Linked DNA regions of Pelodiscus sinensis. The protein of the gene in region 1 interacts with the protein of each later gene in a pairwise test. Links are inferred from orthologs where the notes say so. Each region holds a gene or a part of one and is shown in the gene's direction. Other genes may lie near its edges.

Evidence for each region.
Region 2: the proteins of JAKMIP2 (region 1) and CLIP4 interact in binary tests that used the Homo sapiens proteins (3 or more experiments, as listed by UniProt). The two-hybrid records come from large-scale screens. The link is inferred for Pelodiscus sinensis from reciprocal best matches to the Homo sapiens genes JAKMIP2 and CLIP4.

Annotation. Positions count from the first base shown.
Region 1 is NC_134727.1:20,178,014-20,194,111, forward strand, and holds the start of JAKMIP2 (janus kinase and microtubule-interacting protein 2), read left to right. Parts: upstream 1-8,870; 5' UTR 8,871-8,984; intron 8,985-16,098.
Region 2 is NC_134713.1:160,481,246-160,496,700, reverse strand, and holds the start of CLIP4 (CAP-Gly domain-containing linker protein 4), read left to right. Parts: upstream 1-8,894; 5' UTR 8,895-9,013; intron 9,014-15,455.

The DNA of each region.
Region 1 (16,098 bases):
AGGCTGGAGCAATACAATTACAGGTATAGGAGGGGCAAGAGAATGAAACCGTGATTATTTCTGCCAGTCATGGTCTTGATTTAATGTTTAATTAATTGTGTCCCTTTGTAGTCTGTAAATCATATCGAGTCAGTGTATGAGTAAATGAGAGTCAGTGTATGAGTAAATATTGAGTGTCATGATGTCAAAAAATTCCTTGATCAAAAATAAAGATGACCTGGAATAGTAAGAGTGCATTGGTTATCATCAGACAGTCAATATTTACCAACCAATACCCCCCATGGTGATAGCTGACAGTGTAAAATATGTCTGTATTCAAAACATGCAACAGTTCATAGTGGTGTCTTAGATACCATTTATGAGTAAACAGTCATTTTTTAGGAGCAACCACTGTAGTCACTAAAGAGAAAACAGAAAAAAAAATCTCAATTCAGAATATGATCTGAATAAATATTATATCCAGAAATTATACTGAAAGTGTTAAAGTTGCAAAGTCAAGCTCTTAAAATTATGAAATGCCAGCATTAATGCTGTCTGTTCAACCATTATTTAATCCCTTTATGTGTATATATTATGAAACAGTTGCATGATCACATACTACTTTTGCCATAGGACCCCTTCTTCATTAATTCCCCCGTGGAGGGGGGAGGGGAAGAGTAGTACTAACTGAATGGGTAGCTATTTCTTTTTTATCTTGTTCATTTAGTGTGTGGCCCCATTAAATACATTGAGAGAGCTCAAAAAGCTACAGTGATGTGATTTATTTGCCTAAATGTTTTCTTAAGCCAGTTGTATATTTTTACTGTGCAATCCACTAGGTGTTGTGCAGGATGATGTAGAAGTAAATACTGCATCATTCCAAGGCTTTTTGATACTATATGTAACATGTTTGTTTTATTCCAAAATGACTACGTATAAAGATTTTCCTGAACAAAAACTGATCCAAATCTGACCTGCTCACCTCACCCAAAGTTTGGAGTTGGTCTAAACCAGATCTGAGATTTACAACTGACTGGCTCCTAGAATTTTCCCTGATCTTGATTACATAAGATCCTTGCGACATAGGGCAGCTAAGGGGGGCCCTGAAGGTAGGGAGATTGGGGGGCTCCTCCAGTGGCGCAGTGGATAAGGAATATGACCACCGAAGTTAATGGAACTGTGATGTTGCCCTCCATGTTGTTTATGGAAATATGCTTATGAATATGACATAACTCAAATATGCTTTATGCAAAATACTTCAGGTAACATACCATTAGAAAAGTTATAATCTGCTGAATATGTATATTCTATTTGTGTGCATGTGTCAGTCTTGTATTTGAAGTTAGAAATACAAAATATAAACCTGTTTTACTAATCTAGATGTGCTAAGGGAGGGCCATTAGTAGAATCTAACCGTCGGTGGTTAGCCAGCCCTCCAGGAACTTAATGGCCCAATACTTGGGATAATGATCTGTGAATAGTCTTGTTTTTCCTATAAGCCTGGACCAGGGTGGATCCTGTGAGGACATAGGGCCAGGTGACCTGATGCTGGAACCCTGATGCTGCACTCTTCCATAGATGGTGAGAAAACTTTGAACTGATCACAAAGGATTCCAACACTGGGAAAATCTATATAAAGACGGAAAACCAAACAATAGGAGCTGATACCAAATTCCAGGATATTCCTGTCTACCACCCAAGATTACTTCTGGAAACATTTATGACTGAACAGGGGCAAGCATTGATCTCAGGCTGGGAGGCATTCCAGCTTGTGAAAAAGGATGATTAGAACTACTGTTAGGGTAACGTATTGCAGATAACGAGTTTCTTAGTGTATTAGGCTTAGGTGATATATGATGTTTTATTTTACTTAGTAACTTACTTGCTCTGTCTGCTATTACTTGCAACCACTTACATCCTGCCTTTTATCTTATAAATATTTCTGGAAGTTTGTTTGTTTGTTTGTCCCGAAAGATCTCATAAACGGTAAGAGCTAGAAACATCAAATTTTGCACAGATACTCCTAATTTCCTAACTTAAATAACTAAATTATTTGTATCTCTAAATCAGTTCCCCCAGAGCCCCAATTGGGCCCACTGATAATTAGCTTTTAGTAGCGCCTGATCATAAGCATTTGCTGGACTCTTCTGTTAAACGTGTCACATAAACTGCAACTACGAGATCCTAGAGGATAAGGCATGTGAGTACCTGCAGCACCATCAAGGGAAGGCCCATGGGGGAGAGGCTGCAGTGGGGTAGAGAATTAGCAACCTCCCCTATACTAGGGCACCAGCAGGTCTCCAGGACAGACCCAAATGTGGCTGATGCTGGCTAGGGTCTAGCCTTGCTAATTGTGGCTGGGAGAAGCCTCCAGCTATCATAGCCTCTCAACATCTTCACGCAGCCGGGCTCTAACTGAACCCCTTCTGGAAATTACATTTGCTTCCCTCCCCCCACACCGAAACGAGCCATCCCACCACTCACCCTCCTTTGGGCTGCGTGCGTTCTCCTGGCAGGGCTGTGTGCGTTATCAGCAAGTGCCACGGACATTATGCACTTTGCAGGATTCAGCTCACAGTACAAAGAGGAGGTGGGTAGGAGGACCAGGTTTTGAGCACCATGGAGCCTGAGGAGGACACGGTATGCTCACAACAGCCTATTCTCATTAGAACAGGTACTTTCAGGTGTTGCATGTTCTGATCATCTAGATAGCACTAATTGCACCTGGTCTGAAGGTGTTTTACTTTGTCTGATCAATGCAACCGATCCAGCTGCGGCTAGGAAGTCCATTCAGGTTGCCTCATGGAGCGTGCACTGAAGGCACTCGGGGAGTGGCTACTTGGGGAGCAGTGATTTGCTGCTGCTGCAGAGCCCAGGAGACATCCCCTCCATTTCTCAGGGCATCTGGCAAGGAGGCTGCAGGCACTGGTTTGCACAGAGTCTTTAAGAGAAGATGAGCCTTCTTGATTTGTGGGGATTGAGAAAAGACACCCTATGGGATTTGTCATTTTGTAAGCACAGCACTAGCTTGGTTAATTTCTTAAAGTAATATATCAGAGAAAAGTATTTCCAATAAAATATGCTATGTTAATGTTATTGACGTGTTCATTCATCTCACCTTTTACTATATTTTCCCCGGGCAATGCCAGGTATTTCTGCTAGTACTTAATAAAATCACGTTTGTTTATTAAGAAACCCAATAAATAATTATTAATACCGGCGGGGAGGGCAAGCTGTTCATATCTCTCTTTCATTGATAAAAGAGGCAAATATTTTATGAATTTGCTTTTATACAGTTTTATACAGAGTAACCTAATTTTATTTTAGATTCTAGACACCATTGGAACTATGCACCTGGGTACCGTGGCAAGTTCTTTTGATTATCTCAATTTCTGTACTCTGCTGTGGACTGTGACCCTAGCTCTTTGCCAATGCTGGAGGAAACCAGAGGTCTGATCTGCAAGACAGGGTGGGGAGACACCACAAAGGCAGGTAGATGGGCTCAGTGGTATTTCAGCACCTCAGGTATGTCTACACTGCAGCATTTTTCTGGAATAATGCCTGTTATACTGGAAAAACAATACTTGCGTTCACACTGCTATTGCGTTCTTTTGACAAAAATTCGAAAGTATGGAGGGGTTTTTCAGTCAACAGTAAACCTCTTTCTACGAGGAAGAATGTCTTTTCCGAACAAACTTTTTCAGAAAAAGGCGTGTGTGGATGCAGAAGAAGGAGTTCTGTCGAAAAAAGAGGCCTCCAGGAAATAACACAGGTGCCCTGGTGGCCACTCCATCCAAACTAATCAGAACTCTATAGTTCCTGTCTCCTGCCAGCTCTTAAAGCTGAAGGCGCGCGGTACAAGTCTTGTGGCAGGAAGCCGGACCTGGGAGCTGCACTCACCAGGTGGCTCTGTCTTCCACACTGCTAGAGAGCTATGGCCCAGCCTCAACCCTGCCAAGAGCCCACTGGCCCTCATAGGGAGTATGCACAGGGCTCCCAGAAGCCTGCCAGGGGCACTAAAAGGTGTGTCCCATTGTGGTCTGGGGCAGAGATCCTGGCCCTCCTAGATGTCTGGGGTGAGGAAGAGTCCCTGCAGGATCTCTGCTCCAGACGTCGAAATGCTGACATCTGTGTCCAGATGGTCAAGGCCCTGGCCGCGAGAAGACACCACCCCCAGAGCCTCAAGCAAGTCAGGAGCAAGGTCAAAGAGCTCTGGCAGGGCTACACCAGGGCCAGGGAGTGCAGCTCTTGTAATGGGGTCCTGCCCCTATTACAAAGAGCTACACCGCACCCTGGGGGTAGTGCAGCCCCTTCACCATCCCGGTCATTGAATCAGGGCTAGAGATGCCTGTTGTCACCTGCCTGGAGCTCCCTGGCCAGGAGAAGGAGGAGGATGAGGATGAGCTGGAGGAGGAAGAGCAGACAGCCAGCACCATCACCCTCACCCTTGAGCCGGTACTCCAGGGCCTGGATATCTCCCAGGCATTCTCTGAAAGCAGGGAGGGGCCATCAGGTGAGTGCTCTCAGTTTTTCACGCACACAGTGGAGGCAGGTGCAGAGGAGATGGGGAGCAATTGTCGTTTGGACTTCTCAGCCTGGGCATTGTGCTGCACTCCATGTACATGGAAGCACATGCAGCGCCAGTCTGTGCCTCACGGCTCCACGGCATCCCCGGAGCACCCCCGGGCTCCTGCTCACAGGCTTTGGGGAGGCCACACACATGTCTGACCCCTGGGAGAGACCCCCTCCCACCACTAGCCACCGCTGGAAGCAAGCTGGGGACAAGGGTGCATGCACACACACACACAGACTGAGAAGTGACGCACACGGCACATGGGCATGCCTGCACACTTGAGCCACCACTCACTCCCACAGCCAGCGCTGCCAGGCGCAGGTGTGTATGCAGCCCCCATGGAAGGCCAGGCTGCTCCAGGCCCCTGTCCAGCCCATGAAATTCCCACTGTGGCCAGATACTTCCTTTGCCTTCTTGTCCATGGGACAGAGGAGGGGAACGGGCAGCATGGTCCCATGAGCACCTCAGAGCCCCTATGAGGCAGGGACTGCAGTCCAGTCCATGCATGGCCTTTCTCTCAGGACATTCCCATCCTCCAGCCCGAGGACTGTTGCTCACAGCTCACAGAAGAGGACATGGCCCCAGGGACAGTGTCTGCATGGATGACTGACCGCCTCTCCCTCTTTATTCTCCACAGCTGGACCAGCTGTCACTGAGGGGCGATCACCACCAGCTGAGCCAGCCAGCCAACCCTGGGGGAGCTGCAAGTGCCAGAGGCCTCTCCTGCTGCCCCTCCTGCTCCCACAATGCCCCCTCCTGATGCACCCCATTCTGCCCACCTCCCCGTGCTGCCTGCCCCGATGCAGCCTGAACCACAAGTAGTGGTCCGCCCCCGCAGAGGCAGTTGCAGGGGCCACCCCTCCCAGCAGTAGCTCCGCCTTCCCCCCTCCCTCCTCCTAGTTCACAGCCTCCTCCCCCCTCCTAGTTCAGAGCCGTCTCCCCCTCCCAGTTCAGAGCCTCCTCCCTCTTCCTAGTTCAGCGCCTCCTCCCCCCTCCCAGTTCAGACCCCCCTCCACCCTCCCACCCTACGTCCCCCCATTGTAAATAAAAAGTTCAAGACGTTGGTTTCCAAAAAAAACCTGTGTTGGTTGTTTATTGGGAGGTATGGGGAGGGGAGGAGGGGAGGGTTGGGGATGGGAGGGAGATGTAAAGGGAAACAGAGGCAACCCCACTGTGGGGCCTGGGAGAACATCTCCGTCAGAGCCTCCCATATGTGTACCCCATCATGGTGCGCCTGGCGGATGGCAGCTGTGGGGGGCTCTTCGAAGGCCTGGCCCTCGCCTGCCATCCATGCCAGGCAGAAGGACTCCCCCTTCTGCTCCATGATGTTGTGGAGCACACAGCACGCAGCCACTACCTTGGGGACAGCCTGCTCACCCATCTCCAGACAGGTGAGCAAACAGTGAAACTGGGCTTTCAGACAGCCAAAGGCGCACTCCACCTGGTTGCAGGCCCGATTGAGGCGGTCGTTGAACTGTGCCCGGTTGTGGTCTGTCTGGCCCGAGTAGGGCCACATTAACCAGGGCAGCAGGGGGTAGGCTGCGTCCCACACAATACATGTGGACATGGGCACGTCCCCAACAGTAAATTTCCACAGGGGGAAAAAAGCGCCCACCTCCAGCCTGCCAAACAGGCCGGAGGTTCAGAGAATGTGGGCATCATGTGCCCTGCTGGACCAGCCCGCATAAATGTCCATGAAGCAGCCACGGTGGTCCACGAGGGCCTGGAGTATGATGGAGAAGTACCCCTTGCGGTTTATGAAATGGGCCGCTCGATGCTCTGGGGCACGGATGGGATGTGGGTTGCATCCAGGGCTTCCCAGCAGTTGGGGAACCCCAGGGCAGCGAAGCCAGCCACCATAGCCTCCACGTCCTGCAGGCAGATGACTCGCTGGAGCAGGACGTTGTTGACAGCATGGACGACCTGCACAATAACACAGGGGAACGCATCACATAAGGCAAGGTGATGCCCTCTGTCCTCACACACACCAGGGCTCCCTCGCTCCACGGGCCACACACACACCCTCCCACAAGCAGGCCTATGCAAGGGAGGGACGGCCCAAACCCCTGGGTGACGAGGAATTCCCCATCGCCCCAGCCTGGAGTCTTGCCTGCCCCTGGGCATGGAGTGCAGCACCCTCTCCTTTCCACCTCCTCCCCCCCCCCCCCCCAGCACTTACCTGCATGACAATGGCACCAACGGTGGATCTGCCCACCCCGAACTGGTGTGCCACCGATCGGTAGCTGTCCGGGGTGGCCAGCTTCCAGAGTGCAATGGCGACCCTCTTGTCCACAGGGATGGGTGCCCACAGCCGTGTGGTGCTTCTCTGGAGTGCAGGGGCGAGCCAGGCACATAGCTCCAGGAATGTCTGCTTTCGCATCCGAAAGTTCCAGAGCCATTGCTGGTCGTCCCATTGCCCCAGGACCCAGCTGGTCCCACCAGTCGGTACTGGTGGCCAGTCTCCACAAGGGCCTCTCCACGGTGGGGTGGGGATGCCACAGGGTTGCCACAGCCTTCCTAGTGAGGGAGTCCAGAGTGACCTGCGCCTCGAGGTCCTGGACGATGAGTGCAGCAGCATGGAGCAGCAGCTGCAGGCAATCCAAAATGGCCGGAAGGGGCCAGAGCAGGCACAAGGCCACCCCTGGCTCCATGGCACAAGAAAAGAGCTGGAGTCAAAAAATCAGCAAATGGCACTAAGGCACAAGCTGTGGTGTCCAACAAGGCAGAGGGCAACCACAAGTAGAACTGCTATGGCTGTCAGTCCCTGCAAGAGGTCCTACAGCTCACAGCAGGAGAGAAACGGCTGTCTGGGGAGATCCCTTTAAGCATGTCTCTCAAAGGAGCTCCAGCCCCTACCCCAGGAAAGGGCTGGTGCCCTTTTGCCCTCTCCAAAATGGTTCCGGGGTCCTGCCTCTGTCCTGTCCCCCCTCCGTCTCCTCTTTTCTAAGCTGAAAAGTCCCAGTCTCTTTAGCCTCTCTTCATATGGGACCTGTTCCCAACCCCTGATCATTTTAGTTGCCCTCCCCTCTCCCAGCCTCTCTCTTCCCCTCTCCCACCACCTTTTCCCAGTCTCCCCCAATTTTGTTCAATAAAGACAGATTCCATTTTTGAACACAATTGTCCTTTATTTTGTACATCAAGAAGAGGGGCTAGGGAAGGGTAAGTGGAAGGAGGTGAGGGAGGAATGGGGCACGCGCCCCCGATGGGGAGGTCTGGGCTGGCTCTGCGGGCTTCTGGGGGTGGAAGCTCTCCTGCAGCCCCCCAATTGCCCCCTCTCCCCAGATGGCAGCCTGCGGCAAGTGCAGCCGGTCTGATGGCCGAGTGCTGTGATGTGCCCAGTGTGGGTACTCCGGGCAATCCAAGCCAGGACTGCTTTGCAAGCGGGACACCCCTGAGAACTGTCTGTCCGGGGTGGGGGTCAGGACCCTTTAAGCACAGCCCTCGGCTAGCCTGAGACAGCATCTCCACGCTCTAAGTCCTCCTCTGATGCCCTGCCGGCACTGCTTCCGGCCATCCTTAAGCCTGGTTCAGGGTCCACTTAATGTGGACATGCTAGTTCGAATTAGCAAAACGCTAATTCGAACTAGTTTTTTAGTCTGGATCCGTTAGTTCAAATTAACTAATTCGAACTAAGTTAGTTCAAATTAACGTTGTAGTGTAGACGTACTCTAAGGTCCAGCGGCCTGTAGTACTAGTCCCCGCTTTGCACCTTACACTGCAGTGTTTTTGGCCAGCACATCACATCCTTCTGTTTGTCCTTTGCAAACCTGCCTTTTCCTGCTGTCCTCCTTACTGCACCCTCATTTCCTGCCCTTCCCAAGGCAGAACAGCATGTTATGGGCAAGCAAATGCCCACCGGCCCCGCTTGCTGTGTGAGATTCATGCCCTTGGCGCACACACACTCACCTGCCAGCTCTTCACACTCAGCTAAGGAAACTCTGAAATGGGCCCTTTAGTGTCTACAGGGTTCCTGCTTTGCCTGGGGACAAGCATTTGTGATTTTGTGATTAGCTGTAACTGAAGAGATTCTTTCTTGGCTGAAGCAGCTTCTGGGAATAAGCCTCAGTCTCTCCCTGCTCTTCCCTCCCCCATCTCCTTCCTTTCCCTCCATCTTTTATGGCTGTTGCCATGGAGCCTAGCGAGCTCCGTGCTGCAGCAAGGGAGGGAGGAGGAGGCAGCAGTGCCTTCTGCAATTCCAGGTTCTGCTCAGTGAGCTCATCACCCTCCTCCGAGGAGGAGGGAGGCGGCTGGCTATTGCTGCTGCTGCTCCGGGTGGGTGGGCGGTTTACATCCTCAGCATCACCAAGCAGGGGGTGGGGGGAATATCCCAGCAGCTGCTGATGTTGGGCTCTGAAGCAGCCTCAGTAACTGGGAAAATGGATTCAGCTTGCACATCCCTTGCCTTTCAGCATCTTCTCCTGGTTTCAACATGGTGAGCCAGCACTGCCTTTATTGCTGATATTCATGATTGTGGCCGAGGATCATTCTTCTCATGCTGTTGCTGTTTTTTTCTGATCTGGTTGTGCTGCTTATCTTTACTATGTTTGTGAAAGAATGACTTTCATCCGAGCTGTTAGAGAGAGCTTAGGGGCTGGAGCGAGATGGGAGGGATGGAGTGAGAGAGCTGGAGATACAGAAAGATGGAGAGCGGAGAAGGTATATGGGGGCTCATTAGCAGCAGTCTCAGTGAAACAATGTTCCAGGAATTCATCTTAGCTAACCTCATGCTCTAAACCCCCCACCCTTATTTATTTGTCATCTTCTTTCCTTTGCTGTTACAAAATGGGATGCACTGAAGACGGTTGTGGTTTTAAAAAAAGGTATTTTTTTGAAAGGTTTAGTTTGATGTCAGGAACTCCCAGATACTGGGTTGGGCCTCAGGGAAATAGCATTTGGGGTAATAAGTGCATCTAAGCCAAGAGCAATTTTGAAGGAGCTACTCTGATTAATTTGCTTGCAGCACAGATTTATCGATTTGGATTTGTCGTGGCTTCGCACGGGGCTTCGTTTTGAGATTCTTGTTTTTAAAAGGTTTCTATGCAGATCTTATTTTTGTGGAAGAGGGGTGTGTGAAAATATACTTACACATTGAACTGGGTGTCTTTGTATGTACAACACATGTGCTGTTTTCACTGCCAATAATTGAAGAAATATTCCAGTTGGGGGTGATGTATGATTTATTCTTCCGTTACTGAATTATTGTCCCTTGATTTCATTATGGCACTTAGGATAGATCTATATCATGCATTTGGTCTGTTTTATGGCACTAAATACTAATTTATGCCTGTCTTAATTTGTTTCCATTAATATAAATAGATATAAGATATGGAACATATACCTTATGGCCTGGTAATGGATGCATAGATAGCTATAGGTATAGTTTTATTTAAAAGTTTAAATTAAGATCTTGCAGGAAAAAATGTCAAACCATATTTTTAAACCTATTAATTTGCACTCAGAAGTGTCCCATGCACCATTGTAACATGAAAGGTCAGATTCTCCTTTCTGAATGCCCTGAATTCATTGCACCAGATTCTGCCTTGATATATACTCCATGCACATGCTTGAACTCTGGGAAGCATGTCAGTGTCATGAATGGTCCATTTTGTCCAATAATACTGCATTTGAGCCTTCCATCCTGGCTCAGGAGAAATCCCCATTGTTCAGATCTGCTGTTTGTGTTCATTCCAGCAGCATACAAACACCAGGCCAAAATCAGCTGTGCTGTAAATGTCGACAAAATGATTTCCACACCTGTCCAGAATCTGATTCCTGTGATGCAGGTGTAAATTCATGGCAATTCTTTTGATTTTAATTAGCTTGGTCATGGTGTGGGTGAACTCAGGTGTATATAGTAATGTAGTGTGCAATGGTTTGTCAGTGAGACTAAAAAGTGAGTGTCATATAAATGGATTTGGGGACTAAATTCAGGTGCAATGGATGTTGTACTCATTGAGCCAGAATCAATCCCATTTTCAAAGGGGGTGAGTCTCCATCTCTGGGAGCTTTGCCCTCAGGGGATAGGCAAATTCATCTCTGCTGGGAAATTTGTGGGAGTCCCCCCAGCAGACATGCTTGAGAGGAGTTGCTGACTCAGCGCATCTGGCCATGCTCTTTGCCAGGAGAGCCTTGTTGACTTTTGGAACATCACCTGTCAGTGGAACCCTGGGAGCTCTCCACGTCTGCAACCTCTCTCCAGTTGGACTTGCTGGGTTGGCCATTCTGTACTGGCTGAGGTTGTCCTGGCCTGGGTGTTGGATTTGTCCACTTGTTTGTGCAGTGTCCAGCACAACCCTGACTGGGATCTCTAGGCATTATTACAACACAAACAATAGGTAACTTCCTTTGACTGAATTTACCCCAACATCTTTCAGTGATTTCTACTTATATTCTCCTGTTTCCAGGGTTATTTCTAGATCAGTAAGCTTTTAAACATAGGTCTTTTGTATTCTAATCTTTTTTGTTTTCACCTCTACTTAATGGGGTGATAACGTAGGTGTAACACTAGAATGTAGTTGTGAATAACAAACAGCAGGCTATTATCACTTATAAATGCATGGGGGACATTCGTGACCTTTTATTATTATCAAAACTTGAAAGCAGCTAGAAAATGGAAGCATAAGTTCTCTACTGTTATTACAAAGGATAACTGACCTCATGGTTTTTAAGCCAGAGAAACATTGTATAACTCTAGTAACGAAATGATGCTAGAGTCATTTTCAGGTTTTGGGGTCTATTACCCATCCATTTCCTTGTATCCTGTTACGTGCCAGTTATTATTACAGATTACAAATGCATAGAAGCACTCCTCTTACTAGAAAAGATATTGGGCTAGATTTTGACCATATTAATGCTAGTGTAACTCTAAAGAAATCAATGGGCCTAATTCTGATCTCACACTGGTTTCACTCCAAGTGGTTTCACTTCTGATTTACATCAGTGCAAGTGAGAACAGAATCAAGCTGATTGGCTAACGGTCATGGTCTAGTGATTTAATTACAGAAATTAGTAACAAAGGAAGTTCTAATCCCTGAACTGACACCAACTCCATCTATAGCTTTGTCCATGTCATAAACTCTGCTGCCTGTGAAATGGGCTAATAATCACTAATTTAATGGAAAAACTGCTGTGAGGATTAATCAGCTAATGTATAGAGAAAAGCTGAGCACAGATAAGTGCATTTACCATTTGTTTTACATACTGACATGGGTTTGGTAAAAAAAAATTGTTTAGATTTGAATCTAGTTTGATTTGCTTGCAAATAGTACATGTGAAATTATCCGTCCTGCCTGTGATACACTGAGTGTGGAGTTATGTGTTCAGAGTATTCTGTGAAGGGTAACCCATAAACATGTAATGTGGGAGGATGATTTATAAACTGATTCTGCTTAGTTCACCTGGGGGAATGCTGCAGTCCAGCAGGTGAATCAGAGAAAACTGCACATGCGGTCCAGACAATGCTGCCAAACTTGCACCTGCAAAGGGCCTGCTAACAATGGGATGAAATGCTAATGCTACGTTTACTGCATACATTCCAGTGTCACATGGTGTAGAATACTAGCAGCTTCAGGCTAACTGAGAGCTCTGTGGGAATAATGAGAATCAGGATATTTCTGTCTTTACAGTCACCCTGGGTGAAAAATAACACAAGTTGCCCATCTTTATCCACAGCTCTCCATAATCCCTCCCCAAACACAGCAGTTCTTGACACATTTCTTTTGTTCCCCATAGTGTTCTTGGACTTGACCCTCACATCCACATATCCCAACTGACAGGGGGAGGAGAAGAGACGACACAGTGTGGGACCTCAGTCAAATAGCTTTGCAGACAACCTTAGATATGTTCTTAATTCTAAAATGATTAATGCAGTTGTCAGAGGAACAGAATAATTCGAACCCACAACCAATGTCTTGTATAAACATTGAGACAAATCTTGGCCTCAGGTCATTCACTTTCAAGGCTCCAATTGCAAATCAAATCTCATGTTCCTGCTGCAGTGAGGACCAGGCAGAGATACCACGTATGGGAATTCTGCAAGTCCCTGCTAGGAGAGTGGAATGTGGACATGCCAAGAACAGGGAAACAGTATGGGTTGTGAACAGTAAAGATCCAAATTCACATGTTGGTGAACTGCGTCCTCCTCTTCTTTCATACATGTTAGTAGCAGCCACATCCCAAGTTCTACTGATCCATTCTTGAGTGTCAAAGGGAAACACTTATCATGCATGTAATAATGCCTTGGGAAAAGCCCCATTACTCTGGCTTTGCTCCTGGGAAGAGAATATGGCCCCTTTGTAACATCACAATAATAAAATCATAGAACACTAGAACTGAAAGAGACCTCGAGAGGTCATCAAGTCCAGTCTCCTGCCCTCGTGGCAGGACCAAGCACTATTTAGATCATCCCTGAGAGATGTCTATCTAACCTGTTCTTGAATATCTCCAGTGATGGAAATTCTACAACCTCCCTAGGCAATTTATTTCAGTGTTTAACCACTCTGACAGTTAGGAAGTTTTTCCTAATGGTCAACCTAAACCTCCATTGCTGAAATTTTAGCCCATTGTTTTTGTCCTATCATCAGAAGCCAAGGAGAACAATTTTTCTCCCTTCTCCCAGTAACACCCTTTTAGTTACTTGAAAACTGCTATCGTGTCCCCTCTCAGTCTTCTCTTTTCTAAACAAGCCCAATTCTTTCAGTCTTCCCTCACAGGTCTTGTTTTCTAGACCTTTAATCATTTTTGTTGCTCTTCTCTGGACCTTTCCAATTGCTCCACATCTTTCTTGAAATGTGATGCCCAGAGCTGGACACAATACTCCAATTGAGGCCTAATCAGTGCACAGTAGAGCAGAAGAATGACTTCTCATGTCTTGCTCACAACACTCCTGTTAATTATCAGAGGAGTAACCGTGTCAGTCTGCAAAAATGACAAGGAGTCCTGTGGCACCTTATAGACTAACAAATGTATTGGAGCATAAGCTTTCGTGGGCAAAGACCCACTTCATCAGATGCATGTAGTGGAAATTTCCAGGGGCAGGTATAAATATGCAGGCTAGAGATAACGAGGTTAATTCAGTCAGGGAGAGTGAGGCCCACTTCTAGCAGCTAATGTGAAGATGTGAACACCAAGAGAGGAGACACTGCTTTTGTACTTGGCTAGCCATTCACAGTCTTTGTTTAATCCTAAACTGATGGCGTCAAATTTGCAGATGAACTGTAGCTCAGCAGTTTCTCTTTGAAGTCTGGTCTTGAAGGTTTTTTTTCTGCAGGATGGCTACCTTTAAATCTGCTATTGTGTGTCCAGGGAGATTGAAGTGTTCTCCTACAGGTTTTTGTATGTTGCATTCCTAATATCTGATTTGTGTCCATTTATTCTTTTACGTAGGGACTGTCCAGTTTGGCCAATGTATATAGCAGAGGGTCATTGCTGGCACATGATGGCCTGTTAATGCATCCCAGAATCATGTTGGCTTTTTTTGGAACAGTGTCACATTGTTGACTCATGTTTAACTTGTGGTCCGCTATGACGCCTAGATCCCTTTCTGCAGTACTCCTTCCTAGACAGTCGCTTCCCATTCTGTATGTGTGAAATCGACTGTTCCTTCCTACGTGGAGTACTTTGCATATGTCCTTATTATACGTCATCCTATTTACTTCAACCCATTTCTCCAGTTTGTCCAGATCATTTTAAGTTATGACGCTATCCTCCAAAGCAGTTGCAACCCCTCCCAGCTTGGTATCATCTGCAAACTTAATAATCATACTCTCAATGCCATCATCTAAATCACTGATGAAGATATTGAATAGAACCAGTCCCAAAACAGACCCTTGGGGGGCCCCACTTGTTATGTCCTTCCAGCATGGTTGTGAACCATTAATAAATCTGAGAACAGTCATCCACCCAGTTATGCACCCATCTTATAGTAGCCCCATCTAGGTTGTATTTCCCTAGTTTATTGATAAGGTCATGCGAGACCATATCAAGTGCTTTACTAAGGTCTAGGTATACCATGTCCACTGTTTCTTCTTTATCCACAAGACTTGATATCCTATCAAAGAAAGCTATCAGATTGGTTTGACATGATTTGTTCTTTACAAATCCATGCTGACTGTTACCTATCTATCTGGCTTCAAGATTAAACTAGATGGGTTTATGAAGGGGATGGTTTGATGAGATAACATGATCTTGGTAACTAATTGACCATTCATTATCAGTGGGAAATAGGTCAATGGAGGGATGATAGGAATTACTAGAGAACTTTCTGGGTGTCTGGCTGATGAGTCTTGCCCACATGCTCAGGGTTTAGCTGATCGCCATATTTGGGGTTGGGAAGGAATTTTTCTCCAGGGTAGATTGGCAGAGACCCTGGAGGTTTTTCGCCTTCCTCTGTAGCATGGGGTACAGATCACAGCTAGAGGATTCTCTGCATCTTGGGGTCTTCAAAGTATTTGAAGGCTTCAATATCTGAGATATAGGTGAGAGGATTATTCTGGGAGGAGTGGGTGAGATTCTGTGGCCTGCACTGTGCAGGGGGTCAGACTAGATGATCATAATGGTCCCTTCTGACCTTAAAGTCTATGAGTAAAGTCTATGAGTCTATCACCGTATTATCTTCCAGATGTTTGCAGATGGATTCCTTAATTATTTTCTCCATTCTCTTTCCTGGCACAGAAGTTAAACTGACTGGTCTGTAGTTTCCTGGGTTGTTCTTATTTCCCTTTTTATAGATGGGCATTATATTTGCCCTTTTCCAGTCTTCTAGAATCATGCATGACTTCCATGATTTTTCAAAGATGATAGCTAAAGGCTTAAATACCTCCTCTATCAGCTCCTTGAGTGTTCTAGGATGCATTTCATCAGTCCCTGGTGACTTGAAGACATTTAACTTTTCTAATTTTTAACTTGTTCTTTGTTTATTTTAACTTCTAAACCTACCCCAAGCTGTACCCTTCTATACCAATATCCCGATCATATGTATTATCCCACCAAATCTCTGTGATACCAATTACATCATAGTTGTGTTTATTTATTAGCTCTTCAATTCCTTCCTGCTTATTCCCCACACGTCTAGCATTTGTATATAGGCATCTAAGATACTGATTTGATTTTGCCTCCCCAGTTCTGCCTTGTCCCTCCTTTATCTCTGCTATTATTATAGCCCATGCTCCTTCCCCTTTCTGAACCATCTCCCAATTTTCCATGTTTTTCACTTACCTGTGGGTTTTGGTCATCTGGCCCCATTAAACCTAGTTTCATTTCAATGAGTTTTAACTTAAAATATGTTGAGATTGGATCCTAGCATGATATGGATATTATTGTACAAGACACCAGTGAAGAATCCAATCATTCAATGCTTGTTCTGGCAAAGGCCCATATGAATGCTGGCCACCTCAGAGATGCAGGAAGGGGATAGAGACGTGTGCCTTCTAGGAACTCACTAACAAATATAGCAATGGATGCCCTGGTGCTCCCAGATATAGAATCTTTTTCATGCTGTGAACAAATTCCTGGCCAGAGCATCTTTTACATTTCCTCAGCTACTGGGC
Region 2 (15,455 bases), on another chromosome or scaffold:
TTTGGGATCACGGGAAGCATAGTATAATAGAACATTCCTAATTCATTGCAAACCTCCGCATTTCTACTTTCTCCTCACTAAACAGCAGCTATTGAGGGCCTGATTTTCAGATAGCTTAGGGTAAACAGTCACATGTCCAATTTGTAAGCACAGTTACAGTGAGGCTTATGCTATACAATTAAGGTAGTGTGGTGCCCACATCTACTGTCGGATTTGCAGAATCATCAGTGCAATTGCAGAATCATCAGTGCATGCAAGATTTCAACAACAATACCTGCAAGTGCCACAGGGACCTATGGGGAGCTGACGAGAGGGCAGATGGACAGCAAAGTGAAGAACCGATGTGGGTGGGGCGGGAGAAATGAGAATAATGTGTCCAGCCTGGGAAGGATGGTGGGGCAGAGAGGAAAGCAAATATCAAGGATGTGGCTTGGAGACTTGTGAGAACCAGGGTATGTCTAGACTATGTTTTTCTTTTGAAAGAAAATATGCAAATTCAATGTGAATTTACACATCTTCTTCCGATCACTTTTTCGAAAGAGTTGGTTTTTTTTTTCCCCGAAAAAGCAAGCAGTCTAGATGTGGTTCTTTTGGGGAAAAAAAACCCTTTTTTGAAAGAATGCTGTAAACCTCATTTTTTGAGGAAGAAAGGTTCTTTTGAAAAAGGTTTTTTTTTTTCGAAAGAACTGTGTCTAGACTGCTTGCTTTTTCGAAATAACCTCTTTCGAAAATGCAATTGGAGGATATGCAAATTTGTGCCGAATTTGCATATCTTCTTTTGAAAGAAAAATGTAGTCTAGACATGCTCTGGGAAAAGGAGGAAAATGTTGAAAGGAGAGAAATGGTAGATGGGAAATGAGCAAAATGGAGGCTGGCGACTTCAGGCAGAACACTGTGATGTCTGATTCAATCCACATGACATCTAGGCTATGTCTAGACTGCAAGCCTCTTTCGAAAGAGGCGCTTTCGAAAGTATCTTTCGAAAGAGCCTCTTTCGAAAGAGCGCGTCTAGACTGCACGTTGAACTTTCGAAAAAGCGGCTTGCTTTTTCGAAAGAAAGCATCCAGTGAGTCTGGATGCTCTCTTTCGAAGAAGCCCTATTTACATTGAAGAACGCCTTCTTTCGAAAGAGGAACTTTCGAAAGAAGGCGTTCTTCCTCGTGAAATGAGGTTTACTGCCATCGAAAGAAAAGCTGCGTTCTTTCGATTTAATTTCGAAAGAACGCGGCTTGAGTCTGGACGCAGGTGAAGTTTTTTCGAAAAAAGGCTACTTTTTTCGAAAAAACCCCTGAGTCTGGACACAGCCCTAGAGTTCAGGGACAGGAGCAGAGAAAGGCAAGACCCAGGAAGTGAATTTCTCTTCCAACTCTACATCATGGTACTTCACCTTCACCAGCAAACAACTCCCTGTGCTGCCCTCTCTGAAATGCTGTGAGAGCTGGAGCAAATGATTCTGGGATGCACCTGAAAGGGACTGATTGCATGTGGCTGAACGTGCAGTATCTGAAGAATGGGGTATATGAGAAATGGCTGAGAAATGATGAGACTAGGATGGGGTGGGGAACCTTTTGTAGGCTGGAGGCCACTGACCCACAGAAGTCAGGGGCAGCACACAAGTGAGGGGGAAAAAAAACCAAAAACAAGTCCTCACAGATGTGGGCCTGACTGACAAGGAGAAAGACACTCTCCACATTCCCCTTACACTCCAGAGTCTTGGGGGGCCCAGCCTAGTAGATTTTGTGTGCTCCAGCCCCGTGGTGGGGCAGTGGGGAGGGGAGAAGCTGGAGCACCAGTGTGGACTCCCCAATGTTGGGGGGAGGGGGAGAGCATGAGCCTCAGTGATTGGATCTAGGCAAGCCAGGGGCTGCATCCAGCCCTCCAGCCCGAGGTTCCCCACCCCTGGACTAGGAGTTCAGTTTCTGGCTGATTTACATAGAATTTACTGTGTCTGACTGAAAACCAGCTGTTGGAAACTTCTCTTCGCTTGGAAGAGAGACTGCACTGAGCCAGCTATTTTCATCCTTGTTATATAATGACGCTGGAAATGAAGGTGCTATTGTCTCGACCGAATTCCTGCCAGTTGACATTGAATTCTGACACTGCAGTAAAGCCTTTGAGGTCACTTGATTTAAGCAGAGATAGGAAAACTGTGACAGATAAAATTAGAGCTGACTGGAATCTTGGAAACATGTGCCACATAGTTGAACTGTGCCCCTTGTTGGGAGCCTCTAGGGAGAGGCCAGTAATTGAATGGGGTTTGGAGCATGAGCTTCCTAACCTCCACCTCAAAAGTGTAGTACCTAAGGAACTGGGTTTGAGGCCACAAAATGAGGACAAGGGTTATGGTAGGAGCATTCATTGCCTGTGGTAATACCTTTTCTTTGGATAAATGGAGATATTCAATCCCTCTGGCCCCAGTCAGTCAGCAACTTTCACTTTTTAATGAAGAAAAGAAATACTGAGTTTTGCCTGCATTTGAAGTGGCCATGAATCTGCAGACCATCCATTTTTGTTACGACCTGCCATTCCCTTCAGGAAGTTCATGCCAGCCAGTTTGTGGGGTACTTGATGTTCAAAGTACAGATTGGACTTCCCTGGTCTGGCCCCCTCAGGTCTTGACTGGTCCTGGATGCGGGATTTTGCTGTACCAGGGACGGTAATTTCTGGGTCCCAGGCCGTGCCCACTTCTGCTAGGCTGCCCCAACAAGCTTCCTGGCCCCTCAGGCAGCCCAGCTGGGCCAAGTGCTAGCTTCCTGACTCCTACTCCCCCTGCGCTGCATGGCTCTGCATTCTCCCGCCTCCCTCCCTTCCTCCCCCATCCAACTCCCAGCTCTCCCCCACCCCCGCAGTCTGGTGGGACACTGATCCAGAGAGTCCTAGTTTAGAGAGATGCAGCCCGTACTGACATTCAAGTATTTGCAGCACAGAAATAACAGCTCCATTATTAACATCGTCTCTCAATTCACCCTAGCTACAGCCAAGCTGAAAATGCCTCTCTGATAAGGAAAAAGATAATCAGGCATTTGCAGCCTCATAAAAATGAATCCCTAAGGTGGGATCTCAGAGTGATGCTGTGACCATTGTGATCCTGGGATGCTGAGGAATCTAAATTAGGAGTAGAAAGGTTATTTTACCTCTGTATTTGTCACTGTATTTGACCAGAACTTCTTAAAGTTGTTTAAATAGTGACATTAGGATATTCTCTGACTTATTATTGATGCCTTTCCTAATGGTTCATAACTTGTTAGCTTTTTTGCCGGCTGCTGCATATTGAGCAGATGTTTTCAAATACCTATTAACAATGACGCCAACATCTTTTCTTGAGTGGTAACAGCTTATTTGGATGCCATCATTTTATCTGTATAGTTGGGATTGTGTTGACCAAAGTGCATTACTTTGAATTTATCAACATTGAATTCCATCTGCCATTTTTTGGTCCAGTCATGCAGTTCAGTGTGATGCCTTTGTAACTGCACAGTTAGCTTTGGACTTACAAAATTAATTATGATCGCTATCTTCTGAAAACTTTGCCTCCTGAATGTTTACCCCTTTTGACAGATCATGTATGACTGTATTGAACAGTTCTAGTCACAGTACAGATACTTGACGGACCCCGTCATTTACCTCTCGTCACTGGGAAACCTGACAATTTATTCTGACCTTTTGTTTCCCATGTATTAAGCAATTACTGCTCCATGAGAGAGCCTTCCCTGTTATTCCATGATGATTCACTTTGCTTAAGAGCCTTTGGTGAGGGATATTGTCAAAAGGCTTACTAAAAGTCCAAGAATATTATAGCTACTAGAGCACCCTTGTCCACGTGTTTGTTTATAACTTCAAATAATTCTAATAGATCGGTGAGGTATGATTTACCTTTACGTAATCCATGCTGACACTTCCCCAATGTATCATGTTCATCTATGTGTCTGATAATTCTGTTCTTTAGTGTAGTTTCAACCAATTTGCCTTGTATTAAATTAGGTTTACTGGCCTGTCATTGCCAAGATTGCTTCTAGAGCTTTTTTAAAAAAAATCTGTGTTACAGTAGCTATCTGCCAGTCATCCGGTACAGAAGCTGATTTGAGCAATAGGTAGTATACCACAGTTAGTAGTGCTACAATTTCATACCTGAGTTCTTTCAGAGTTCTTGGATGAATACCATGTGGTCCTGGTGACTTATGACTGTTTAATTTATTAGTTGGTTTCAAACTTTTCTCTACTGACACTATAAATCTGGGTCAGTTCCTCAGATTTGTCACCTAAAAGAACAGCTCTGGTGTGGAAATCTCCCAGACATTCTCTGCAGTGAAGACCTATACAAATAATTCATTTAGCATCTGTGCAACAGTCTTGTCATCCTTGACTGCTCCTTTAACATCTCAATCTTACACTGGCCACACTGATGGTTTGGCAGGATTCCTTCTTCCAATGTACTAAAAAAATTGCTGTTAGTTTTTGTATTTTTTGCTAATTGCTCTTCACATTCTGTTTTTGCCTGGCCACGAAATGCTCCACGACCCCCCAGGAAGACTGACCTAATAACAGTCTGGTACATAGAGCTGAAAATGTAGACCACAAAAAAGTAAGGGTAATAATAAACAAATGCTAAATAAGGTCACGTGTCTGGCCAGAAGGGAGGGTGCAGGAGGAGACTTGGAGCAGGGTGCTTGGCCAGGAGGAAGGGTTGAGGAGGGGTCTTGGCAGAATATCTGGCCAGGAGCGGGTATTGGGGCAGGGTGTCTGGCCAGGAGGGAGGGTGCAAGAGGGGACTTGGGGAAGGGTGTCAGAGCAAGCTGGGAATGTGGGGTCTTGTCATGGAGAGGGGAATGAGGGGGGTTTGGGTGTGGGGTCTGGGCATGAGGGGGGACGCTTACCTGGCTTGGTACCCTGCTGCAGCAGGGAAAGCCTGCAGGGAGCATGCTCTTGTTCCTGGGAGGGGTGTGTGTGTGGAGAGAGCTCAGTTCCACACCGCCCATGCAGCGGGGAACCCAGCGCAGCTGCAGCAGCAGCACCAGGCCAGGCTTCCTGCTGGCGGGGGGTGGGGAGGGGAAGGGGAGAGAGGAGAAACCCTGACCATCCCCGCCAGATTAAACTTTGCCATTTTCCCAGCAGGCTGGGGAGGGAAGGCGCAGGGGAGATAGAGGAGCAGCACATGAGGGGCAACAGAGCCCAAGACTGCCCCGGGGGGGGGGGGGCAGCAGAGCCCAAGCGTGCCCCAGGTGGGGGGGGGGGAGCAGAGCCTGAGCTGGGTTCCCTGCAGGCAGCAGTTTTAAAATGCTATGGTGTGGGAACAGCTCCTCTCCTCTGGGGTGGGGGAGCAGAATTTTTTCTTTTCTCTCCATGGCACTGAACACAGTTTAAGAAACGCTAGTATAGATATTTAAAAAGTGTATTAGAGAGGTACCCAAACAATATTCGGATCTGACTTGGATAACTTTGGGTGTATCTGGAATTTGACCCTGTTCAGGGTCACAGCCTACTTCTATTTGAATCGTGTACTTTGGGAGTACCTCTGATGTGTTCATACACAATAATAACCATTCAAATTACTTCAAGGGTAAAAGAGTATATCATCTATATGCAACACACATATCTAGCCATCTTGAACAGCAGTCAAGGTATTTGTTTCTTGTAGCTACTACCCAATTTAAAGAGTTATCTGCAGGTGGTGGGTAACTCATGTCTGTATAGCCCCTTTCTGAGTGACTGTTCAGTTCAGAGCTAAATGATAATATATTGAGGTGACCTAGTGTTTCCTATTAGACCAGATTTCTGCATGCATGTGACGGGGTATATCAACCCCACATTGGACTTGTAAGAATTAACCAGGGCTCCCTGACTGAAAGAGCCCCCGCCCAGCCCTTGTCTGCCCCCAGCTGGCGGGCAAATATCAAGGCTGGTGGAGCAACTCAGTCAGGGCTGACCACTGGGGAAGAAGGTGCTGCCAGATCTCTGGAGGAAGAGCTGTGGACGGACCGACCCATGGAGGCCAGACAGTGGGGAATAGCTGGAGAAGCCCCCAGTCTGAAGGGAAGTGGCGAAGGAGGCTCCTTCGGTGAGTCTGGTAGGAAGTAGCCAAGGATGGGGAGACAGATCCCTGAGAGCTCAGTGTGTTTCAGGTGAATTCTCCGCTGAACTAGTGGCAGGCCACCCCGTCACTGACAGGGCTCTAGACTGGAACCAAGTCGAAAGGGTGGGCCTGGGTCCCCCTACTCCATCCCCATTAACCTCCAAGGGGGATGCAACAGTGACTGTGATTGCTAGGCCTTACTGCCCTGAAAAGAGGGAGCTTCTTACTGACTGCAGCCACTAGGTCTCACTGCCCTGAGAGCAGGGAGCGTTGCTACAGACTCTGGCCGTGAGGTCTCACCACTCTGAGGAAACGGGGCAATTACAGACTCTGGCCACAGGGTCTCACTACGCTTGAGGAAGGGGGTGTTTTACTGACTGTGGCTGCTGGGTCGGACTGTCTCAGGGGAGACGGGGTGTAGTTATTGTTCCTGAGCCAAAGGTACCGATACACACATGGGGTGCGGCACTCTTTGGGAGGTCTTAGAGGCCTCGTGCCCTGCCCCTAAAGGGGCTAGGCATCCTGACCCCAAGACAATGGAGTAAACATCTCTTTTGTACTTGGCACAGAATGATGACAGACTTTGGAATAATTGGTCTAGTTCAGTGATCCCCAAACTTTTCACTGTCATGTCCCCCTTAGTTCTGTCTATGCCCCTTCCTCACACCTGAGAGTGGGGCTGCAGCTCCTGCAATGGAGGACAAAGGAGACCAAGGCAGAGGCCACAGCTGGGGGTAGATATGGGGCCTAGAGTGGGACTGAAGCCAGAAATGGAGCTGCGGCCAGGGAACAAGGTTGGTGGCAGAGCCAGAGCCACAGCTGGGCCCATGGCTGGGTGCAGCTCTGCTCCAGTTCCTGTCCCCAGCCTAAGGCCCTGGCCTGGGAACAGAGGTGTGGCCTAGGGCTGAGAATGAGGGTGGTAGTGGAGCTGCAGTCAGACCATGAAAAGGTTGCCAGATGGTTTAACAAAAAATATTGAACCCCCCCCCTCCCCCCAAAAAAAACATGCTGGGAAAAAATTCTGACGAGGAAAAAAAAGGGGGGGGGAGGGAGACCAAAGTTAAGCAAAAAAAAGGGGGGGGGAGGCCGAAGTTGTTAAGCAAAAGTTGCACCACTCTCTCCAGTTTGGGGCCACAAACTAACCCCTAGTGCACCCACCCCTCCCCCTGAGCCAGGAAACCCCAGCGCCAGGAGCTCCCCGCCCCAATCAATTCCCCCTCTCCCCCATGCAGAGCCAGGCACCGGAGGAACGGGACGGCTGGGTAAGTTAATCTGACTTTTAAAGTCGCTGCTCCTGCTGCTTAGCCTGGCTGCCTTGGCTCACAGTGTATAGATGGAGGCATCACGTGGCCAGCTCTCGGGTCTCTGCTGGTCACGTGGGCCAGAGCAGCGTGCACTCTGCTCCCACCCCAGCCCGGCGCTCCCCCTAGCGCGGTGCCCGGCAAGTGCCCTCTCCTGCCCCCCTTCGCTACGACTCTGCTGCGCTCCTCACTCCCCTGCCCCTGCCAGATGCAGCAGGGGAAAATTGTCCCCGCTGGGCTTCCGTCTGAGGGAATCAGGAAATACCAAACATTTCACGTGTCTGGTATTTTCTGGTTTTTTATTTTTTAACCGGACGGAGCCCGCAAATACCGGACTGTCCTGGTGAATACCGGACACCTGGCAACCCTAGACCATGCTGGGGGCCAGCAGCCAGGCACATGGCTGGGTGTGGAACCGCACTCAGGCTGGGATGGGGCCAGTCCGGGAGCCTGGTTTATGGCTGGGAGTGGGTGGTGTTGCAAAGCAGGTGGTGCTGCCTCCACACTCCGCTGTAGGGGCTGGCCTGGGCCCACTGTGCCTTCACTCCCCAGATTGTTCCTCCATGCCCTGCTAGGGGTGTGTGTTTGACAGTTTGGAGGCCTCTCGTCTAGATCCTTATTTTTAAAAATTGCATTTGGTTTCATATTAGTTTGTGCTGGGCCTTTTAAACCAGCAGTTTAATTTGTAACTAGTGTTGTCCCTATAACTTGGAAAAAACAGTCCATAATTCAGTGTGAACAATAATATCTCAACAGGCAGAAATGTATATGTGATCTTTATAAATTGGTGGTTTTTTCCAATGGGTCTCTTGTATGCTGTTGAATGTCCTGGGTCTTATGGGCCTAATCCTGATGGCTGTACACAACCCAAGCAGGGATAGTTCATAGGTGACAGGGAAGAATGGAATCACCTCATCACAATCCACACAAGTACTGATATGGTCAACATCACCACACCATGAATTTATCCTCACAACTGCCCTGCAAGTCTTTCAGGCAAAACAGTGGTAGGCCAGACTTACCCTTAAAAAAATCTCAAGTAGAAGAAAGCCCCTTGAGGCCTTTATGCAATGCCTCAGAGAAAAACAAAAATGAGCAGTTGAGCTAAATTAGCAAAAGGATCCTGAAGGTTTCCATCACTTTATCTAACATTAGTTAAAGATTTGCCTTTTGTAGGGAACCTAACTTATTTTTGCTGATCCCTTTGAGCAGTCACTTATGATGGGTTTCACTGCATACAGGAGGGACACTGTGTGGGGGGACATGACTACTCAATCAAGAGGATTGGGAGTTACAGCAACTGCCTAGATGTGCTTCCTGGCTTCCACCTTGCCTGAGATTTCCTATCTTGTATGTCAAAGCCCAGTCCAACTCCTTTGACCTTGTGAAGGTTGAGAGACCGTGGCAGGGTTAGAAACTGAAATCCTCTATTTGTCAACAGAGCCAGTGCAGTTCAGGCAGATGCAGTTTCAACTTTTCCACTCTCTCTTGCCAATACTCTAGTGTACAGCACAGACTTTCCATCCTTCCCCAGGAGTGAGAGGTGCTGTGAGCTCCTTGTACAGAGACTGTTTGCTGAGGTGGCAGCCTGCAGATTACTCGCATTTGCAGAATGGTTTCTGTGAAGTGAGACTGCTGCCAGGTAAGAGACCAAGCAATGAGGATGAGTACTGAAAACCTATTTTGATTAAGACTTTAGGTTAGGACATATACCAAGACATCTTTAATATTATAATCACCATCCTCAATACTGGAATTTACTTAAAAATATCGGGTCATCCTAGAGATGATTTTAGTACCATGTGCATTGCATTGTTCCCTTCCCTGTGGACACAAAGCCATGCTTTTAATGAGTGTTTACATGGCAGCACAGCTGTTCAGACCAGCCAAAAATGTCTGGTATTTTTATTTATGGTACAAAAAATGTATCTAAGTCTCAGTACCACAGAAGACACCTTGACAATGAATGGTCAGATTCCATTAATGCAGGAGACAGTGTTCTAGAAGCAGATTATTTACCACATCTCAGAGAGAGAAATTTGCAAGATAAATACTCATGTTTTTTTCAGCAAGATTGTATTATTCCTTTTTGATTTGCCATATTCTTTTCTGGATTATTTTAGTTTTCCTCTATTAGATCCTGTATAGCAGGTGGCAATTTGCTACATGGACTGTTGTCTAGCAGAGTGTCTAATGATCAGAGTAGAGAACTGAGTGTTAGGACTCATCAGTTTTATTTGCAGCTTATGCACTGACTCAGTGAGCATGAAAAAACTTAAAAAACAATACCTAGTCTTGCAGCATTTTAGAGACTAACAAAACATGTAGATGGTATCATGAGCTTTTGTGGGCACAGCCCACTTCCTCAGATGAATGAACTTGGCTATCTCATTGAGCATAAGAACGGCCATACTGGGTCAGACCAAAGGTCCATCTAGCCCAGTAGCCTGTCTGCCAACAGTGGCCAGCACCAGGTGCCCCAGAGAGGGTGGACCGAAGACAATGATCAAGCGATTTGTCTTCTGCCATCCTTATCCAGCCTCTGACAAACAGAGGCCAGGGACACCATTTCTATCCTCTGGCTTATAGCCTTTTATGGACCTAACCTCCATGAAATTATCTAGCTTCTCTTTAAACTCTGTTATAGTCCTAGCCTTCACAGCCTCCTCTGGCAAGGAGTTCCACAGGTTGACTACACGCTGTGTGAAGAAGAACTTTCTTTTATTAGTTTTAAACCTGCTACCCATTAACTTAATTTGGTGTCTTCTAGTTCTTCTATTGTGGGAACTAATAATAGCATGGACAAGGGTATCACATAACTTTTCTATGCTTTGTGTATCCTCCTCTGTACAGTGGGGAAAATGCATACTTGCATCCCAAAGTTTTTGTGAGGTCCAATGTGATATAATGTTCTTTGACATTTTCAGATGATGAAAAGAGCCATGTTAGAGCCAAAATACTGTTAAAAGTTTATAGTCAAAAGAGCTAGGAGAGAAGTATTCACCTCTTGCCCAGAATCCCCATCCTTATACTGACTATATTTGCAGGCATACACCAAAAGAAAGAAACTCTCAACAGGCTCCGAGGTAGTAGAGATGGGAAACCTATTTGGTCAGTGTATCCAGTCCTCTGCCATTACAGGGTTTGATTCACAGTAGAGAATATATGAGGTGTTAAACGTGATACTATGCTTGAGAGGAAGGTGGGGCTGCAAAGTGGAAACTGTCCAATAAGATTAACTTCTTTGCCTAACATTTAAAAGCTGTCTAGCTGGTACAGATTTTAAGTTGCGGGCTGTATAGTAAGTCTCAGCCCTGTTATCTGTAGGATCTATGTGCTGCTGGAGGAAAGGCAGGAACATCTGGTTCACAGCATTGTAATGAGTGCTTTGGGGAAGGCCATGGTCCGTATTAACTGGCCTTGGCTTCAACTGGGGCTTGAGGTCCAATAGTAATAATCGAGAAAAATGATAGAACTGATGACAATGTCTGCAATGTCCAAAGCTGTTAATTATACAACTGATTAAACAGCAATTCAGGCCTCATAGAAAACTTTTAGAAAGCATCTTATCAACAGGCAATGTTGCCTCTTTTTTAGCATATTGGTGCAGTCTTGACAAAGCAATAAATTAAAAAATAATATATTCCGTATTGCATCTTTCATATCACTGACTGCCTAAAAGGCATGACAATGTTAAATAATGCAGTCATAGGGTTAAATGTAAGCAAAGAGAGAGTCTGAGTGGTGGGAAAAGATACTTTGAAATGAAGTTTGTCAATACCATGGAGACCAGGAGGCTATTTCTGGTGGCAGAGGCAAAGCGAAAGTTTTTGAACGAACAGGGGTGAGACTGTATAAAGGGACAGAGAATAGGCAAGTGTAAGAGGAGTGCAGGAGACTGATTTTATTCTAGTATGAAATTGTTGCTAGGTCTGTCATCTTTGTTCCCTACTCCTGCCACCTATTCCTCAGCTGAAGTCACAATCCTGTGTTTGTGACATTGTTCTTGTAATTATTCATCATAAATGGCAGTGGGTCTGTGATGAGAAGTTTGGATCCTGATCCAAAATGTTTGGATGCTGTAACCCAGAGTTTTGGTTTGACATGGCCTAAAAGTACTATGACAACTTCCATGTCTATGGAGAAGACGCAGGATCTTATGGCTAGATCCACAATAGTACTTAGGGACCCAACTGCCTCTTTAGGAGCCTAAGTCCAATGTTAAGACACTGCTGATGTTCTCACATCCATTGCTCAGCTGCCTCTTGACCCCAGAGGGACACAGTTTTCACCAGTGGGTGTGTGCAAAGTTGCCTAAGCACAGAATCTGCCCACAGCTGAATAGCTGCTCAGGGCCTCACTGAAACTTAGCATCCCAAAACAGGATTCTCAAGCAGATGTTTCCCCATCTCTCTTGCCTGTGGGGATCAGTGTTCTCAGTGCATGCCTACAGGATTGAGGCCTTCACATATGACAGCTGGGGTGAGTTGGGTTTTTTCAGGATCAGGCGTGTGTATCCTTGTCCATGTCCCAGCTCTGAACACTCACTTGTACTGTGAGAGACACAAGTTCACATTTGTACCCTAAGGACTAAATTATTTATACCATACCAATATGAGAACTTGAGGCCACTTCAGAATAATCCATAGTCCAGTGGCCAGGACACTTATATGGGAGACCAGGATTTAGATGAGTACTCGAATGGGGTGAGGTTTTTTGAGAAACCTGGCTTTGGTCACCTAATTCCAGGAGAGGTTCACAGCTGAGAAGTGAAGATAAGTGCCTCCCTCTAGCCCATCAGTCAGATACCCAGATCAATGGGAGTTAGGAACCTAAGCACCTTTATGAATCTGGGCCCTTTCCTCTCAATTTCTCTTCTGGCAGCCTTAGTCATTCCCCCCCCCTTATCAGCATGTAGGCTTCTATGAAATCCTTTCTCAGGCATCTAAGTCTCCCCATGCTTAACTCAGGGCTGAGGTTCCACTAGGCAGCAGAATACCTAAGGATTAAGTGTTGCAACATGCAGTATTGCAGCGTTTAAGTACAATGGTGGAGTTAGCCCTTAAAAGCTAACGTCTTGTCTGGAAGGAGCACTCAGACACTAACCCTGGATGGAATTAAGTTTATCTGGCGAGGAAAGAATGGTTGAATCAGCTCTAAAAGAGTGTCTTTTCTGGACGTACTGGCAACTCCCTAACTGGTGATACAAGATGGTTTGAGCAAGTCATTCACAAAGTAAGTGGTTGGCATCCACAAAGGGACTTGGGCATTGCAATGCTGAGCCTCACAATGCCTTGCTTTTAGGCACAGGAATACACTGCATTCCACAAACCCTGAGCTGGGCACCTAGGCTCCAGTACAATGAATGGGGAGAGACAGGCACCTTAGACTACAAACCACAATACCCAGCATGTTGAGCAAGGAGCCTCCTAACCCGCTTTTTTTGAAATAACAAGTGGAGCATCCACACTACCAAGCCCATTATTTCAAAACAACAGGCTGGTTATTTTGAAATCTGTACTCCTGCTTTCCTCGGGGAATAAACTTATTTCAAAATAGATATTTCGAAATAATTTCCTAGTGTAGACATGCTCTAAGCTAGCCAATGGGAGATGCTGGTGAGGAGTGTAGGCTAAATCTCGCTCCTCACTTGAAGACAGGTGCCTATTTCTGCCTGGCATTTCATGAATGGGAACTGGCTGCCTGGAGTCAGATAGCTTGGGCAGGTGAGATGTGTTTTGCAGAAATGAGGTAGGTGTCTGCCTCACGCTACACAAAATAATACAGAAAAAGATGGCTAGTGGGTACATACTTTCCTTCCCCCCAACACTTTTAGCTCAGTGGTTTGAGCACTCATAGAATCATAGAACCATAGAGCTGGAAAAGACCTCAGAAGGTCATCAAGTCCAGACCCCTGCTCCAGGCAGGACCAATCCCAACTAAATCAACCCAGCCAGGGCTTTGTCAAGCCGAGACTGTCAAGCCTTTGTCAAGGCCATCACCTCTAGGGATGGAGACTCCACTACTTCCCTAGCTAACCCATCCCAGTGCTTCACCACTCTCCTAGTGAAATAGTTTTTCCTAATATCCAACCTGGACCTCTCCCACCACAACTTAAGACCATTGCTCCTTGTTCTGCCATCTGTCACTACTGAGAACAGCCTCTCTCCATCCTCTTTGGAACCTCGCTTCAGGAAGTTGACGGCTGCTATCAAATCCCCCCTCACTCTTTGCTTCTGCAGACTAAACAGACCCAACTCCCTCAGCCTCTCCTCATAAGTCATATGCTCCAGCCCCCTAATCATTTTGGTTGCCCTCTACTGGACCCTCTCCAATGCATCCACATCCTTTATGTAGTGGGGAGCCCAAAACTGGACACAATACTCCAGATGTGGCCTCACCAGAGCTGAATAAAGGGGAATAATGACATCTCTGGATCTGCTGGCAATGCTCCTTCTAATGAAACTGTAGATGAGTCATGGGGTGCGATCACCCCCTACCGGGCGGGCAGGGAGACTCAGCGAACCCCTTCATCCTCTAACCAGGCCCCCAGCCGGGATTCTCGGTCGTGCGTCCCGTAAGCTGGGTGCGATCACCCCCTCCTTGCAGGGCAGGAGAGGGGGGTTCAGCGGCCCCCGTGTCTATACCCCGCCTTAGCAGGGGGGAATGGGCTTGCGCCCCGATTCTTGCCCCTCCGAGGGGCGATGCCCTGGCCAGCCCTGCCGTCCGGCCGCCACAGTTCGCACGTTTGTGTGCGTTCCAGTTCTGAAGGGGCTGGGTGCTCGTGGGAGGTTGGGAGGGGGACCCGGGCCCACCCTCTCTCCGGGTCCCAGCCCGGGGCCTTAAGTGCAGGGGCTCGCGGTCATCCCTGCACGGCAGACGGGGGGTGTTTCCTCCCGTAACACATCTCCCTACTGTTGCCAGAAGGCCCCACCCCGGGCTGATTCCTCCCTTCCCCTGGCCCCTGGAGTACCCCTGCGCTTACCGGGATTCTGGGCTCCAGGTCTGAGGTCGTTCCGCAGGAGTCCCGTGGGTCCTTCTGTTCCCGCGGATCTTGTCCCGGCCGAGCCGCTCCTTCCATGGGCGGCGGGGTTTGTCCTGGTCATCCTCCGACCTGGGGCTGGCCAGCCGCGGGGGCCGTCCCGGGAGCCCCTGGGTTAGGAACGGGCCACCTGCCGGTCTCAGGCACGCACCCGGTCGTCCTGGGCCCCGGTACGTCTCTACCTCCCTGGGAGGAGGCTGCCCCCCTGCTCTCTGCTGGTGGGCCTTTTTAAAATGGCCCGCTGGGCCAGACACGATCTGGAGGCCCCGCCCCTTCGATGACATGGCAGCTCCCCCAGCCATGTCGCAGCTGTCACTCCCTGCAACAGCCCCTCCCTGAGCCCTTCCGGGGGAGGGGCCAGTAGCCTCCCACTGGCGCAGGCGCGGTGGCAGGTTCCGGCCCCGCCGCCACTCTCCGGCAGCCCCGCGGTGCGGGGGGGGTTCTGCCCATGGCCCCGCTCGTCTCCCGGTGGCTCTGGCTGTTCAACGTGCGGGCCGTTGGCGGCCTGTCACAGCAACCTAATATGCCATTAGCCTTCTTGGCTACAAGGGCACACTGTTGACTCATATTCAGCTTCTCATCCACTGTAACCCCCACGTTCTTTCGGATGTGGGTGGCCCTGAGAAATTCCTCTCTCAGGCAGAAGGGGAAAAGGATTGGAATAGAGGTCTCCCTCGGGAAAGTGCTCTAATCCCACTGAGCTGTGGGATATTTTTATGGTGCCGGGCTCCCTTAGTCTTTCCTGGTGAAGTTGATCCACTGTGTGGACAAATAACGAATGAGTGACTGGAGCAGGGGAGCTGGGTCTCCCACATCCCAGATGGATGCCCTAAGCATAAGGCTATAGAAGAAGTATCTCTTTCTTGCCTCACGACTACTTAGGTATTTATCCAGATTGGACCATTGGAGCAGGGGGAGAGGAAAAGAAAGACACAGAGTCTGTAGTCCAGTGGTTAGGTAAACCCCCCTACCCGCACGTGAGGAGACCTGGGTCCAGTCCCTCTGCTCTGACTTAGGTGTCTAAATCTGCCACCTAAATGCC